2 linked regions of the Rhinolophus ferrumequinum genome follow. The protein of the gene in region 2 interacts with the protein of the main gene of each other region in a biochemical or structural test. Links are inferred from orthologs where the notes say so. Each region holds a gene or a part of one and is shown on either strand. Other genes may lie near its edges.

Region 1 (8,143 bases), on a different chromosome or scaffold from region 2:
ACGCCGTCCACCACCATCTGCACCAGCTCCACCTCCGAGAAGCCCAGGCGGTCTGCGTTGGAGACGTCAAAGACCCCGCCCACAGCAGCCGTGTCCACACCACCTGGGGAGGCAGCCGGGTCAGCAGGGCTGGGGTGGGAGCCCCGGGGAGAGAGAGCTGCCAGCAGCCCCTGCCCCACTCACCTGTGCCTCGCTTCTGAAGGCGCAGCCGCTTGAGCACCTCCGCGAACTTCTCGTGCTTGCCCAGGTGGGGCAGCTTGATGTGCACACCTGCCCGCAGCCCTGTGCCCAGGTTGGACGGGCAGGTGAGGATGTAGCCCAGGTGAGGGTTCCACATGAACTCGTAGTTCTTAGACTTGAAGAGTGTTTCAATCTGGAGGTGGAGAAGGTGTGAGAGGGAAGGCCTGTGAGATGCCCCTCCCCCCAAGGGACCAGCTGGGACCCAGAAGCCCCAGGCGGGAGCCTGAGGTGACTGAGACCCAGACTCCCCAGGGAGACTGATAGGGCACCCACATCCCTGCCTGAGCTCTGGGGCCTGGCCCTGCCCCCTCCCTGGCACTGAACCCCCACTCATGCCAGCCCCTATTGGAGCGGCAGGCCTGACCTGAGTGAGGCCATTGCAGAAGCGGGTGAACACCTCCTTCATGTTGCCCCCCTTCTGCATGGAGATGACCCGAAGGTGGTCCTCCTCGTTGATCCACACCAGGAAGGTCTTATTGTCATTGTGCCTGGGGGAGGGCCACAGTCAAGGCTCCTCCCTGGACTGTGGTCTCAGGGCACATCCAGGAAAACTCTAGGGGGTCGCCAGACGGGAGGAACTTCACAAATCCCTGAGGTGCTCCTTCCAGCTATACCCAGAACCCCAGCTCCCGCCACACAGGACAGCTCAGAAAGGGTTCAAAAAGCCCTGAACTGTCCCCATCCTGCCAGTCACGAGCCCTGGGGCCAGGTCCCAACCTAGGACGTAAGGGGCGGGGGAGCCCGGACAGCCCCCCCAGGGGAAAGCGCTGTATCTGGGCGCTGAAGCCCGCCCTACCCAGACCGTGGGGACAGGAGGCTGTAAGCCCTCCCCCAACCTCCACCGGGAAGCGTCTGCGTCACCCAGCACCTGGCAGATCCTCAGAGGAAGGGGGAAGCGGGCGGGTGAGAAAGAAAACAAGAAGCTCCAGCTCCCAAGAGGGGGTGGAGGAGAGACGCCAACACGACCTGTCCCCCACCTCTAAGATCCGGAGGCTGAGGCCTCCATCAGCCGGGTCCCTCCACGCACCTGCGCGGTCAACGTCACCTGAGAGGAGGCCTGGGCGGCACCAAACCCGTCCCAGGAGCGCGGCCTCTCCCTCTCCCCTCCCAGCCTGGGCGAGGGCAGGACGTAGAGGAAGAGGTGGGGGAGCCGCGGGAGGGGGAGGGGAGTGGTCACGCACCAGATGCCGCGGGCGTCCGGCCAGTCGCGGGCCATGCCCGAGGCCAGCAGCAGGGGCGACACGGGCTTGTCGAAGAGGAAGTGGTCGTCGATGAGCTGCTGCTGCTCCGCGTCTGTCATGCTCTTGAGCGCGTAGTACCTGCCGGCCAGGTCGCCATCCAGGCTCGACAGTGCTGCGGAGGGGCGCGCTCAGGGGACAAGCCGCGGGCCCTGGCCCCACCCCCACCCGGGCAGCACGGGGCCGCCACCTCCCCACGCGCGCCCAGCCCTGTGGGAGCCCAGTCCATGCGGTCCGGCGGCGGTCGGAGGAGGTGACTCAGTCGGGCGGCCCTCACCGGACCGCAGCCCGGCCGCAGTCGGTGCGGGGCTGGGCCTCGGTCTCTCGGGAAACCGGACCGCGCGCGCAGATAAGAACTCGGCGGTGGCTCGGGTGACTGGTAAACAAGCTGGGGCGGGGCCGGGGACGTGGAGGCGGCCGAGCCGGGGCGGGCAGACCCCTACCTTCCACCGCGAGCTTCTCGATGGCGCGGCGCTCCCCGCGGCTGCAGTGCGGGGGGAGGCAGAAGCCGCGGATGCTGCGGCCTGTGCGCACCCGCGAGCTCAGCACGTAGTTGGGGTCCAGATCGTCTCCTCCCTGCAGGCCGAGCGGGGGTGAGCGCCGGGATACCACTCGTAGCCCGCCCCGCACCCGGGCCGCCCCGCACCCGGGCCACCCCGCACCTGCAGGTTGTCAGGGTTGAGGTCAGTTTTGTGCTCGTCGCTCGGCTTGTAGCCACCGTGACGGTCCTCGATGATGGGGTCAAAGAGCTCCTTGAACACTTCGTACGATTCCTCGTCGCCCGCCACGCAGCCCACGGTCATGATGTACGGGTGGCCTGGGGGGCGAGGAAGGGGACAGTGACGTCACCGCCAGGCCTGAGCAAGCAGCCGAGGACCCTGCGGCTGCGCGGGAACTCTGGCCCGAGAGGGGTTCTGGAGGGCGCTGGACCTTAGCCCCGGGAGTATCCTGACCCCGGGACGGGCGTGCGCGTACCCGGGTTGTCCACTCCGGTCTGGATGATGTCGTCCAGCGTGAAGCCGCTCGGCGTGCTCTTGGCGCGCAGCTCAGCGTACATCTCGGGGGTCAGCACTTTGGCCATGTGGTTGTTGTGGCTGCTGAGGTCGGGGAACTCGTCCTCCGCCGGGAAGCGCAGCTTCAGCGTGTTGTGGCTGTTGGAGAAGGGCATGGCGGCGGCGGGCGGCGGGCTGTGGGCTGTGGGGAGACGCGGCATCAGCGGGGACCCGGCGCACCCGGCCTCCCCCGGACCTACAAACCACTCAGGACCCCGCAGCCCTGGCCCCCAGTCAACCTGGGATGTGGCCAAGGTCAGCGGGGTCCGCAGCGCAGGCAGAGGGCGCCGGCACCACCAAGGACCGCGGACCCGCCAGCGCGCGCACTCGCGGCTGCCTGCCCGGGCGCGTCCGGAGCGCAAGATGCCCCGGGGTCCCTCTGTGTGCATCGCTGCTGCCCCGGCGCCCAGCGCGGCCATCCCCAGCCCTCGGGCCCACTCACCAGGCGTCCGGGCGTAGGGGGAGCGCTCGGTCCTTAAGCAACTCCGGGCGCGGCGCTGGCAAACAGCGGCCGCTCGCCTCTCCCGTGGCTCTTAAGGGGTGCAGGGCGGGCCGCCCATTGGCCGCTATTTATAGCCCATTCATTCCATTGGCCTGCACCGCGGGGTGGTGCCGCTGCTTTGTCCTCCGCCCGCAGCCCCAGACCACCCCCCAAGGCCGCCCACCCTGTGTGTCTCCTCGCTGGGACCCCGGCACAACCCGCCCGCCCTGCCCGGCGCCTGCCCAGGACCCCGAAGCCGGAACCTCAGACCCTTGGACGTCCTGGAGTCGCCCCCCACCCCGCGGGAAACTGAGGCAGGAGAGCCACCCGGCACTTGAGGACGCTCGGGCTCGTCTGCATCCCACCTCTGCCTTCCTCTGCCAGTCCCCGCGATGGCGGCGGCGGCGGCAGCGGCAGCGAGAGGCCGGGCGAGAGAGGCTCGGGCTTCTGCAGCAGGTACTGCCCCCGCCCCGCCCCGCCCCGCCCGGTCTGAGCTGGTTCTGAGCCGCCGACCTTTCTCAAGGTGCCCGCTTGCATCTCCCGGGAGATCTTGGTGCAGAGCGAAGGCGAAGGCGCACCGGAGGCGCAGTCTGGCTCCGGCCCAGCCCGGTGGCACCTGCGGTGCTTTGACCTTGGGCAAGTACCCAGGCTCTGGGGGATCTGAGCCAGGGACCCCGGGCCCTGCCCCTCCTGGTAGATGCAGGAACACTGTAACCCTGAGCGGCCGCTGGGGAGTACACAGGCTCACAGTCTCCAGACCCCAGCCCTAGGCCCTCTCTGCTGGGGACAGGTTCAGTCTCACCACCCCACCCCCAAAGGCAGTCCCCAGAGACTGGCAAAGATGAAACACAAACATATGTGAGATTAAAAAAAAAAAGAACTCACTATAAATCAGAATCAGGCAAATTAAAACAATGTCTCCACATTCTATTACCCCCAACACACTCAGATTGACAAAAATGTAAGATTGACAGCAGCCAGTGTTGGCTATGGGTTGGAATGTGGGGAGACAGGCGTCCACACACTGCCTGCAACTGTGAATTGCTACATCCTTTTTGGGAAGTAATCTGGCAGGATTTATTAAAATTAAAAATGTTCACACTCCTTGACCCAGCAATCCCACTTCTAGGAATCCAGCCGATAGAAAGGACAGTCATTTCTCTTTGCAGATAGGCCAAAAGTTGTGTGGTGGGAAAAACAAACACAAACCAACCTGGATATAACTCACCCATCATTTGGGGACTAGCCAACGGGTAGGGAGGCATGTCTGCCGTGTGGAAAAGTATACAGCTATTAAAAAGAGTGCATTGGAGATTCTGTAGCTAATACCCATCATGTGTTGCTTCGTGAGTAAAGCCAGAAAAGGGGAAGCCCTTATCTATGTGTATATTTCACAAAATCTTCCCAGGCCTGCATGGTGAGCTCTGTCGGAAGCAAGGTGAACGTAGGCTGCTGCTGAGGGAAGACTGGCCCTGAGACAGCAGCCAAGTGCACAGAACAGCAGCAGGAGATGGGAGGAGATGGGCGCGGCTGGGGCAGGGCAGAGCCAGGAATTCCAAGGTAGGTAGGGAGTGGGCGCTGAAGCAGAGACCCAGAGGACCGGCACATTCAGTGACCCAGAGGACCGGCACTGCCTGTGTGCTCATCAAAGGGTGTGGAATCTCCCCAGCTGTCCCTGGCTGTCCTTGTGGTGACCAGAAGGGACGCCTGCCTCTTCCCCAGCTCACCTTGGCATGCTTTGACCTATTCCCAGTCAGCATTTTGAGTTTTGTGGTGTGTTTTTTTTTTAGACCCACAAAACAAACCATTGTAAAAAGGCCAATGGTCTGGCTGGCCAGACAGCAGGTGTCCCTTAAGCCTGGAATTCCTGCACTCTTGTGTCCCTTTGCAGCCCCTTCCCCCAATTTTACAAATATCTGCAGCTACCCTCCCCACTTCCCCACTCCCGAAGGCCTGATGGGCTCAAGTTTCTGTTTCTAGAAACCAGAGCTGCTGCTGCTGCTGCTGGAGGCTGACTTGGCTTTCAGACTTAGCTTTCAGACCCTGAAGAGGGGGTGCACTCAGGGCTTCTTCTTTGTCTTCAGCCTCTGCAATTTCTCAGAACGCCATCCACCTTCCCCGACCCTCAGGCTGGCCAAGGACCCGAGCACTTTGTGGGGTGGAAGAAGGACTCCCATTCCCCGCTCCCTCTACAGGCGAGGTCCACACTGGAGAGGAGGTCCACTGGCTTGCGGCGGCCTTGCCTAGGGTCAGGCCCTGGGGATACTCCTGCCGAGGGCTCCTGCAACCCTCAGCCTTCTGAGATGGGTGTTTTGTCCCCATTTTTCAGATAAGCAAAGGGACAATCAGAAGGTGGGTGACAGAGGGGTCAGGTCAGAGGCACCGCAATCACTCAATGATTCCAGAATGACTGGCCCTGTGCTAACGTCACCCAAGGACCACCCTGGGGACCCCAGGCAGGCCAAACCTGGGCGGGGCTCAGACTGACAGTGCAGGGTGTTCAGCAGCTGTGATGGGGGAAGGGGAGGGCGACCGAGGTCTTCGGACCCAAATGACAAGGTGCGGCCCCCAACAAGGCAGGGGCTGCTTGGGAGACTGGTTGGTCCCAGAGCAGGGCAGCAAGGGTTGGGGGCTGGAAGGGGTCAGCCTCCACCACAGCCAGAACTGCCCCTGGCTGACCTGGCTCTCATCTGTGGACCCTCCACTTTCCTCCGGGCACACCGAAGTCGGTCTGGTGGCATCCAGGCAAAAGCTGGGTGACATCACCTGGCCAGTTTATGGTCCAGGTTCCTCAGACGTAATGTATCATAATTGGTTATACATTAACCACCTGGCCTCTCAAGAGCCTCAAAGGAGTGGCTGGCCTTTCATCCACAGATCACCACCCCTTACCCCCGTCAGCCGGGGGTGCAGGGCAGGCAGAGGTGGGCCAGGCTCCGGGCAGGGCCAGCCTCTGGGCAGGGCACTGGAGACCTTAGTCATCATCATCGTCTGTCTGAGTGCAGCCAGGTAGGCATTGTTCCTCCTGGTGCCCTGGTCCTAAGCTCTGCAGAATCCAGAGGGGAAGTTAGCTGGGAAGAGCAGAGGGGCAGGGCTTCCTTGGGGTCTCAGAGCATGGGCTGGGCAGAGAGGAGGGGACCTCGGTCACCTGATCCCTGCTAGGGATGTGGGCGAAGCCTCCCCGGTGGGCATCCTTAGCTTCTCCATTTCCTCCAGGGTCTCCTTCCTGCCTGTTCCCCCCTCTTTCAAACCTTCCATTGTTTCTCTGCAGCTAGCTTTACTGGCTTTACATCCCAGTGCCACTTTGGTCTCATTGGCTGTGTGACCTTAGACAAGTTACTTAACCTCCCTGAGTCTTAGTTTCCCCATCTGTGAAGTGGTCCCCCCCTCACAGGATTGTGGGGAGGATTCAATGCAGTGACACTTAGCTGGGCTTACAAAGCATCAATTCTCATTGGAGGAGTCCCAGTATACAGACTCTGCCCGGGGCCTGGAGGAGTCCAGTGCTTGAGGACTCAGACCAAGGGCTGGGGCGGGCTCCGATGGAACAGAAGGACAGCTCTGGGAGGCTGTGGAGGAGGGGCACTTGGAGGAGCTGGTCAGCCAGTCACGGACAAAGAAGAAAGTGGGAAGTCAGGACCACAGGAAACCACCACCAAGTCACCGAGTCTTAATTTAGGCTTAGTAGGCGTCCAGCCTCAGCTCCACACCCCAGCTGAGTGGCTGGGGAAAGAGGAACCCCCAGGAGAAGTGGAAAATTGAGATCTCAGGGGAGCAATTAGGGAGTGATTCAGGCGGTGCATCACCAAGGGGGTGAAGCAGAGTCACTGGGAAGAGAGGCTGGTGAGCCATGGGTGGGGCTGGGTTGTCTCAGTGTTAGAGCAGGAGGCAGGGAAGCCATGATGCAGCCACACAGGGACATGAACCCAGAGAGTGGGAAGCCACCAACAGTCCCTCACCTTCTTATCCCCGGAGCTCCCAGACCCAAGCCCAGCCAGGGCAGGGGCATGGAAGGGCTGAAGCCAGGCACCCGGGTTTCCGCCATGGACCCAGAGGGGCCCATGACAAGGGTTACAGACACCCTGGTCCATCCTGGAAGAGTTCAGAGAGCCTCACAGGCTGGCAGCGCTGGGGAAGGGGCTGGCTCTGCAGGGGCCTAGCCACTCCCGTTTGAGCAGGCTGGAGCAGCCCGGGCCTGAGAGGTGTCCTAGTGGGGTTACTGCTGCCAGGCCCTGGGTTAGGGCCCAGGCTACAGGGGAGCTGAGTGGGCTGGGCACATCTATCACGCTCCAGGCCCAAAAGCTAAGCCCGCCTTGCAGGGAGCGGAGTGCTGGAGGCAGACAGTCCGGCCCCTGCCCCCACTCCCTCTCTACACTCCCCACAGAGGAACCTGCTCTGAATCAGCCCTGCTGAGCAATAACAGAGCTGCTGCTTCCCTTTTCTGCCGTCTCCAGTCCCCCGCTCAGCCCATTTCATCCAGCTCTCATTGCACCCTGGGTCCTGGGACACAGGACCCCCTCCCTCGTGTAAGTGGCTTCTGCACTGCAGAGAATGTGCCCCTGCGGGGGAGGCAGACCAGGGAGAGTCAGGGCCAGGGCGGAAGGCCACTTCTGCAGACCCTGCCAGACCCCCATCTCCTGCACCTTGGCTGATCCCAGTTAAACCCTCTGATATGTGATTCCATTTTCTGGAATGCACCCTGGGGCCCAGTCAGGGGTGTTCCCAGAGCGATTTGCAGTGACAAAGTGCCCACAGCAAAGTGTCCTCACGGGACTGGGCAGCTAGCCGTGGGCGGGCGGTCCTGGGACTCCAGGGCTGTCGCGGCCCTGCCCTGGTCGCAGCCCGCGCGGCCTACTTCTGGGGCGGTGGGACTTTCAGCTTGTCTTTGCACGGGCGTGTGCAAGCACAGGAACGCGCATCCGGGAGGAAGCTGACCCGGAGGCGCGCCCCGCGATCCCGCGAGCGACCGCAGGGCGCCGTGACGTCATCGGCGGGCGCCGGGCCCGAGGAGCCGGAAGTGGTGTGGCCGCTGTCGCGGTGCCACGTGCGGAGCCTCCCGCCGCAGGAGTCGACACAGTGTCGCTGGTGAGACTCTGCGGGGCCACGTGACAGTGCGCGGGCGGGGGTCTCCC
Region 2 (8,104 bases):
AATTCCACCAGCTCCATGACCTACGGTGATTCATAATTCCCTATTACCCTTCCAGAGAGCCTAATGCTATCCACAAAGCTACCTCCAGAATCACAGCAAAAGAGCATGTTTTCACTTTCTTTGGACTTCTCCCCAGGATTTGGGTTTAGAGGCTGCCCAGACTCCTCACCAACTAAATATTCAAGAATCAAGGCTCCTCTCCTAAAGGGGAACCTGAAAAAAGAGAAGGCCATTCGTGCTTACTGGGTATTCTAGGTCCAGATTTAAATAAACACTTAATTTTCAATCTTGCCAAAGTTAAATATTCCTAGCGCTGACATAGCTCAAAGGGGACAGTATGTTATTGCCTTATTAGCAGAAATGATGACAATGCTTTTAATTTCTTAGATGTTAAATATTATCCCTACATCCCAGTCCGAAAGGGAGTAAAAGAAATTACTTTTCCCCACAAAGTTATGTGTTCAGAAGACCTGACACCCACCCTGGACTAAGGGAGCTAAGCTGAAGACGACTCAGTTTTCAAGTTGACAAGAATAAAACGGACTTTTTTGTGTGAATCTGACGGTGTTTACTTCATATATAGTATTTAGCACCGAATGGTCCTTTACTAAGCCGACATTTCCAAAGAGAACTACTTGGTACAAAAATATGAACCAGCAACTTGGTTTCAACACCCTACCCTAATGCCCGCACTGTCAAACAGGGTAGCCACTAGCTACAAGTGGTTAAGTTAAAACTTAAATACAATTTAAAGTTTGGTTTTTCAGTCACACTAGCCACAATGGTTACGTGTGGCAAAGTCATAGAATATGTCCACTGTGACAAAGTTCTACGGGACAGAGCAACAACCCGTACGGAGGTGAAGTCATCCGTGAAGGCGGCTGCCTCTCCGGCGGCTACCACCGCGGCGCAGCTCCTGGGCCACTGGTCCCTGCCGAGGCGCCGGGACATCCGCGAGGACACGGAACTCACGCGCTGGGGGACCCTTCAGAAGCGGGCGTTAACTAATCGCGCGGGCGGCCCTGGGAGAGCTCTCCATAATGACCTGAGCGGGGAGCCCCGGAGGTGGCGCGTTTCCCCGGCGCGCCCGGTGGGGAGGGCCCAGATAGGCCGGCGCCAGTCGGTCAGAGGCGACGGCCTCCGACCTCTCCGCGAGCTGAGAAGGCGGCGGAAGAAGGAATAACGGAGACGCCAGGCGCTCGGCCGCCCCGGCCGTAGCTTTCAGCCGTCCGTCCGCGGACGGCGGGGGGCGCTGAGACTGTACCGGCGACCGCGGACGCCGGGGCCTCGCAGGCGGCGACGAAGGCGGAGCCCCAGTCGGGCTAGGGAGGCGCACGGAAAGCCCACCCCCTCCCCCGACCCGCCGGGTAAACAAGGCCACGATTCGCGCTTCACACTTACCGGAAGGCGCGACCCCGCGGCCGCTGAGCCCGGACGGGCCAGACCGGGTTGGGCGGGGCCAGAGGGATCGGACACAAGCGCGGCGGCGGCGGCGGCGGCGGACGCGGCAAGCCGACGCCGGTCAAGGCCCGCGTCGCTTCCTCCAGCGGAGCCGTCTCCGCCGCTCCGGAAGTGCTCGGCGTGGTTGCGTCACTTCCGGGCCGGGGTCGACCCGCGGTCGCAGGGGTCGAGGCGTGCGCTGGGTAATAGTACCCCTCTGCTGGCGCTCTGTGGTATCCCGGCGCTGGATCCCGGGGTCTGACCAGGGCACGGCCGGCGCGGAGGGCTGCGAGAGGCAGCAGACGAGAGGGCTCGGCTTACTGGAGCGCAGTCACGGCATCGCTTCTGGCTTTCGCCTCCCAGCGCTGCCCGCCAGGATATTTTTAACCCGCGTTTTTCTGATGGACTCCTTACTTCACTGTTTGTAAACTCGAGTGTCGGGTACCGGGAAGACATCCTGACGTCGGTGGAGTTGGTAAAGGACTGTTGTTTCCCTTCGGCTCGCTGGACGAAGGAGAACAGGGCCTTCGGGTCAGCGCGCCGGGCCGGAATTCCGCCTACGCTCAGGTTGTGGCCTGTTGGCCCCCGAGCCGCAGGACCTCGCCGGGTTTTCACTCCCGTTTCCTCAACTGGATTCGCCGCCCAGTTCTTCGGCTTTCCAGTGACTGTACAAGGCTGACTCTTAATTGCCTTGCTGCCCAGTTTCTTCAAACAGTATAAGAAGTGCCAGTTATGACTTCTAGTACCTACTAGGACCTGTTGTCAAGTGTTATGGATGGAGCGAGCCACGGAGGCTCACTCAGGTTGCTGCTGCACGAGTGCAAACGCCAGTGTGAAGCTGGTGATGTTAGGCATTGTATTGGGATGTGCAAGTCCGTAGATAATCCAAACGATTTCCACCCGTACACCAGTCGTGTATGTACTGATATTCGAGACAAATGATGTGTAACGGGCTCTCTAATTTAGTGCTTGCTTCTTGTATGCACTCATGTATTTCTTACATACGGGTTTCAGCTTCCAGTTTTAACACAGAACATGGACCAAGATCAGATGCAGTCAAACACATACTGGAAAGCCCCAAATTAATTTGGAGTGAAAATTAATAGCAATGAGTAATATATTGTAGGATTATGAATTTGGTATTTAGCAACATAAAAGTCTATCATCCAGTGTACCTTAATACATTTGTTTTGAGAAAACATATCCCTTTAAATTATACTAGCAAAGGGTCCAAATTATATTTTCTGCAAATGAAATGTCAATTAGAAGCTCTCACTTTGGGTTGCTGGTAATAAATTCCAGTGAATAAGGGGAACAATCAGTCTTTCTGTAGCATTATTGCACTTGCTAAATAGAGAATGAGGTCACAAGCATACTGGTGCATGTACAATATATTGGAATCCTCTTTATTTGTTCATGTGTCTTTCCCCTGGTGAAGGTGAGTTTCTTAAGGGCACAGATCCAACCTTGTTTTCAGTATTACTCCATTAAATAAACATTTATTGGGTTGATGATAATATTTTTAACTAGTGGCAATCTCTCCCCAGGAAGTAAATTTAAAAATTAAGCCAAAACATTTAAGGATACACATAAAAATTTGTGCGCATTTATGTGCTTTGGAATGATGATTCTAACAGGAAAAAGTTTGCAGCATCCCAAGCGTCCAAAAGTAAGGGTTTGTTAAATTATGGTAAAATATACAATAAAGAAAGCCATCAACAATCATGCTATACAAAGGCCCCTCTTGACAAGGAAAGGTACTTATGATACATTCTTCAGTGATAAGACTAGGATGTGAAACAATGTGCTATTCCATTTTCAAAATATATATGTGTGTAAAATATATCTAAACTCTCATGGTTTCTGTGGGACAGGAATCTGGACAGTTTACAGGAATCTGGGGGAATGGTTTATTTCAGCTCCTCAGTGTCTGGGGCCTCAGCTAGAAGATTCAAACTCTGAGAGCTAAAATTACAGGAATAGTTATTTACTCGTGCATCTGGTAGTGGCCTTGCTGGGACTGTCAGTCAGAACACGTATACACAACCTCTCCATGTGACCTTGTTTTTCTGGAAATATGGTGGCTGGGTTCCAAGGATAAGTGCCTTAGAACCAAGTGGAAGCCATATCTCCTTTTATGACTTAGCCTTTGAAGTCACACAGCATTATTTCTACCACATCTTATTGGTCCAAGCAAAGGTCCTCTCAGGTTCAAGGAGAGGAAATGAAACCCTACCCCTGATGGAGGAATACCAACACGATATCACACTGTAAGAAGAACATATGGAATGGGATACATGTTGGTGTGGCCATCTTTGGAAAATGTAATCTGTCACGTAGCATATGTTACATATATATCATACATATGTCTTTCATCTTTGCCTTTATTGATTTTAATTACACGATAATATATTGATACATTAAAGTTGTGAAAAATTTATACAACAGTGTTGATAGCAACATGTGAATATTCCCATTAACTCACTCCAACTCTCTACCCTATCCAGGATTGCTGCCATTTTCCAGAGTTTGGTGCACATCTTTCCAGGACCCTTTTCTGTGCATCTACATACATATCTGTATTTATACACATATACACATATATTTATACAAAGTTCTAAAAAATTTAACAGGCTGTTATAAATATCATCCTGCTTTCTTCATTTAGTAGAAGGTCCTATTATTATTCCCAATTTACAAATTAGCAAACTAAGACACAGGAAGGTGTGGTAATTGCTCTAAAGTTAGGAAGTGGCCAAGCTAAGCTTCTAACCCTGGCCGTCTGGCTCCTGAGCCTACCACATCTTCAATATTTCCTAGTGTGATTATACTGTCATCTTACCACGCTCCTTTTGCAGGTCATCTGTTTCTGATTTTTCACTCAGGTGAAATGACAACTGGTGCTGCAATGAACACCCTTGGATGTACTACTGTTTGCATAGATGTGAAAATGGTTCGGAATTTTTGGAAAATGAAATGGAATTAGTGAGTAAACTTCTATGCTCAGTTTACATTGTGATAGATACAGCCAAATCACCTTTGAAAAATGCCTTTGATTCTTTGAGCCCAGCTATAGGCCAGGTACCATGTTGTTAGATTTAATGGAGAGGGCAGGAGACCATGGTCCCTGCAGTCAAAGAGCTTTGGCCTAGTAGCGGATTCAGAAATTAGAGGAATATTTAAGTAAGTATGAAATTGCTGTGAGGAGTACTGCACAGGAGAGTCGGTGGGCTCCATCTTCAGCTTCTGCTCCATCTACCCTCACTCTCTAATGACCTTATCCAAGCTCTTTGCCTAATTAAGTATGTACCTCCAATACACTGATGACTTCTAGGCTTTTATTTCTAGGCCTACCTAATCCCCTGAACTCCACACTCAATACATTCAACTGTCCATTCAACACCCCTACTGGGATGTCATGTTAGCACTCAGATTTAACATGTCCCAAACAAAACTCAATTTTATCTCCAAACTTGGCATTTCCCCGCACCCCCCGCCCAGTGTTTCTGAGCTCAGTGATGTCATTATCTCTCACTATTTACTCAGACCAAAAATTCACCAGTCTCCCATGACTCTTCTTTCCCTTTCAAATTCCACATTCAATCCATAAGCAATTCCTACGTGCCATACCTCCACAATATGTCCTGATTAGGCACTTCCCACCACCTGGTGCTCCAGAGCAAGCCATCACAATATGTCCCTGGATGTGAGCAGGTCGCTTAACTAAGGTAGTTTCCGTGCATCTACCCACCCTTGCTCTACTAAATCTGTTCTCTCCGTTGTTTAAAGAGATCTTTTTAAAGCATAAAACATGTCATTTCCTTGTTCAAAACCCTCCAAAGCTCTCTCTCATAGGCTTTGGCCTTAGAGGCCTACAAAAGGTAGGGTCTGGAGCCAGATAGCCAGGGTGAGAATCCCAGTTTGGCAACTTCCTAGCAGAGTGACCTTGCGCAAGGAAACTTACCTCTCTATGACTTAGATTTCTCATTTGTGAAATGGGGATAATAGCACCTTTCACTGAGTAAAAAAGCGGAATTATATTTACAATAGCTTTTTTTTAATGAAAAAGGTTTTGTGTAAATGTGTGTTTGTGTGTGTACCTATTAGATATAAATGCATATGTAGATGCATAGAAAGGGTCCTGGAAGGACATGTACAAAATGCTTATATTTTATATTGTTGTTTTTTAGGTTGAGCTCTTAAATCCATCCAGAATTTGTGTTTGGTAGGATGTGTAGAGAGTCAGTTGTCCCAACACCGTTTATTGAATAGATCATTCTTTATCCACTATTTAGAAAAGCGCCTTTATGATGATCTAAGTTCCCGTGTATATATGGATCTGTTATCTGGTTCCTTTTTCCTGGATATCACTTACTTTCAGGTGTACTGAGTTCAAGATCTCTTTGGGCAGCTAGAGAGGCAGGATTGGAGCCCATGAGAGGCACAGAAATTGGAGAGATTTCAGCCCAGACGTGGAATTTGAGCTAAGAAAGAAGGAAAGAGAAGAAAGGAAGGATAGACATTGGGAAAATTAGCCCCTTTTTCATGTTTGATTCCCAGGGTCTAGGAACAAGATTTCTCATCTGGAGTCCAAGGACAGCTTCAAGTTCCCATGAAATTGAAAGCAAACCTGGAGGTACATGTGCATATGTACATTTTTCTGGGGAGAGGGTGCCAGGGATTTTCCTCCCCACAAATGGCTAAGAACCACTGGTTGGACGATGTCTAGCATATGGTAGCAACTCAGATACACCTCTTGTATCAACATGTTACAGAGTGGAGAGAGAAAAGACACCTGTGCTAAAGAGGAAAATATGTGAAAAGGGGCAGTTAAGTAGCAGATCTGTATGGTAAATCAGGAGAAGCTCAGTTTGCTCAGAGATGAAGATATAGTCTAGGGGAAAACAAAGTTGAAGAAGTAAACTAGCATGAAACTATGAAAAGCTCCGATTGCCCCTGAGCTATTTGTAGTTTATTCTGATGCAATAAAGAACTGAGGAGCTTTTTTGGCCAGGGAATGACATAGATTAAATTTCAGGTAAGTTTTCTAGCGGTGTGTAAGGCTAACCACATCAGGAAGCAGGAAGACCATTTGTATAGTGGATTATTGATTACGTTTTACTGGTGGGCTTGAGTTGAGTCCACATTGAGGTCTGTCATGGAGGTGGGTAGGTTTACTGGATTTTTACCAGGAGGGCTGTTCTATCTATATCAAATACCATCTCTTCCTGAAATTGCTCTGAGTGCAAACTGACTCTAAATTAGCTCCTCCTCTGCAGCCAGAGTGTTACAAAATATAAATAAAAGAAACAAGGTCCCATTACCAAATTGTGACTCTTGGGCCTTCTGTCCAATAAAACTCCTGAGGTTAATCTAGCGATGAGTAGTTTTACAAATCAGAAGTGCTCAGTAAATGTGTGCCCTGGACACTAACACAGTACTGCCCTCTCATGGTGAAAATTCCCCATAATCTGTGGGAAACAAAGACAACAGTATTCACTGGGGTAGGAAGTCAGGAGGAAATGTCAGGCTTCAACCAGAACTGACAACCTGCTTTGCACCTGAGCTCCCTCCTAACAGCTCCTTCTTGTTCCAATGTCTGAGATTCTTCTCCCCAGCCAGACTGAAGCCCTTTGAGGACAGGGACCCAGATAAACAGTTTAACAACAATCATCTTATACCTGTGTTTCAGGTATTATGCAACCTTACTTTACAACTTGTGGGCTATCTCTTTGCCAAACTCGAACACTTCTATCTTGGAAATTCTTAACAATGGGTGCTTCTCAAACTCAGTCACAGAGTTTTAAAGACTTGTGTCAGGACTCAATTCCAGATATTCAGAGTGAGAGCGCTGGAGATCCCAGGGCATTTAGAAGCAGCTTGCCAGGGGAGGCCACACAAAGCAGATGCCACACCACCACCTCAGGGACCCGGCCTCATCAGCTGTGCTTTCTGTCCTTTCTTGATGTTTCCCTCAATCTCAGTCCCATCTTAAACAAACACTGAAATCTAAACCCTCCTTGAACTCTTTGTTCCTTTCCCCTCCCTACCAAGCTCCTTGAACCAGTAACTGACTCTTAGTGCCTCTGCCTTCTTGCTGCCTGTTCATTATTAGACCCACCACATGCCAACACTTCTGGCAAGTGTCTTCTAAATGTCATCAGTGATGATTAGTTAAACCTCATGAGCACTTAAAATTCCTTAGCTTGACCCAGCATTTGACTCTTTCATCCCTTGGACTCAAAGGCACCATTTTCTCTTAGTTTTTCTCCAAAATTCTAATAGCAACCTCTGCTTTGGGGGCTCCTCCTTTCATGCGGCCCCTCTCCCATGATACAGTCTTCCCGGGGTTACATATATGTCTTTATGATGAAATCTTCCCAACTTCTGTCTCTGGCCTTTACCTCTCTCCTGGTTCCCAAACTGTGTACCCGACACTAACCAGCTATGTCCCCAGATGTGCCATGGGCACTGCAGTATGTCTCAAATCTGCTATAGGTTTTCTGCTAATGCCTCTGGGGTTCTATCTCCTTTTCCATCCTTCTATGATCCCTGCCTCATTTCACGCCTTCACTGCCTCTTGCCTGGACTGCTGTAATTCTCTCTTAACTGGTCTCCCTGCTTCCAGTCTCTCCGAAAACAAATTCATCCATCTAAAATAGAT

What was found.
Region 1: of the proteins of ARIH2 (region 2) and CKB, one has a biochemical effect on the other in vitro, tested with the Homo sapiens proteins (2 studies listed by BioGRID). The link is inferred for Rhinolophus ferrumequinum from reciprocal best matches to the Homo sapiens genes ARIH2 and CKB.

The regions. Positions count from the first base shown.
Region 1 is NC_046289.1:1,720,559-1,728,701, reverse strand, and holds the start of CKB (creatine kinase B-type), read right to left. Parts: upstream 3,148-8,143; 5' UTR 2,973-3,147; intron 2,673-2,972; 5' UTR 2,647-2,672; coding exon 2,454-2,646; intron 2,296-2,453; coding exon 2,141-2,295; intron 2,055-2,140; coding exon 1,922-2,054; intron 1,594-1,921; coding exon 1,422-1,593; intron 729-1,421; coding exon 605-728; intron 374-604; coding exon 184-373; intron 104-183; coding exon 1-103. Other genes in the region: tRNA (adenine(58)-N(1))-methyltransferase catalytic subunit TRMT61A, read left to right, coding at 4,522-4,571, 7,916-8,096. UniProt on the Homo sapiens protein: Reversibly catalyzes the transfer of phosphate between ATP and various phosphogens (e.g. creatine phosphate).
Region 2 is NC_046300.1:7,302,061-7,310,164, forward strand, and holds the start of ARIH2 (E3 ubiquitin-protein ligase ARIH2), read right to left. Parts: upstream 3,089-8,104; 5' UTR 1,402-3,088; intron 1,282-1,401; exon of another isoform or gene 1,046-1,281; intron 1-1,045.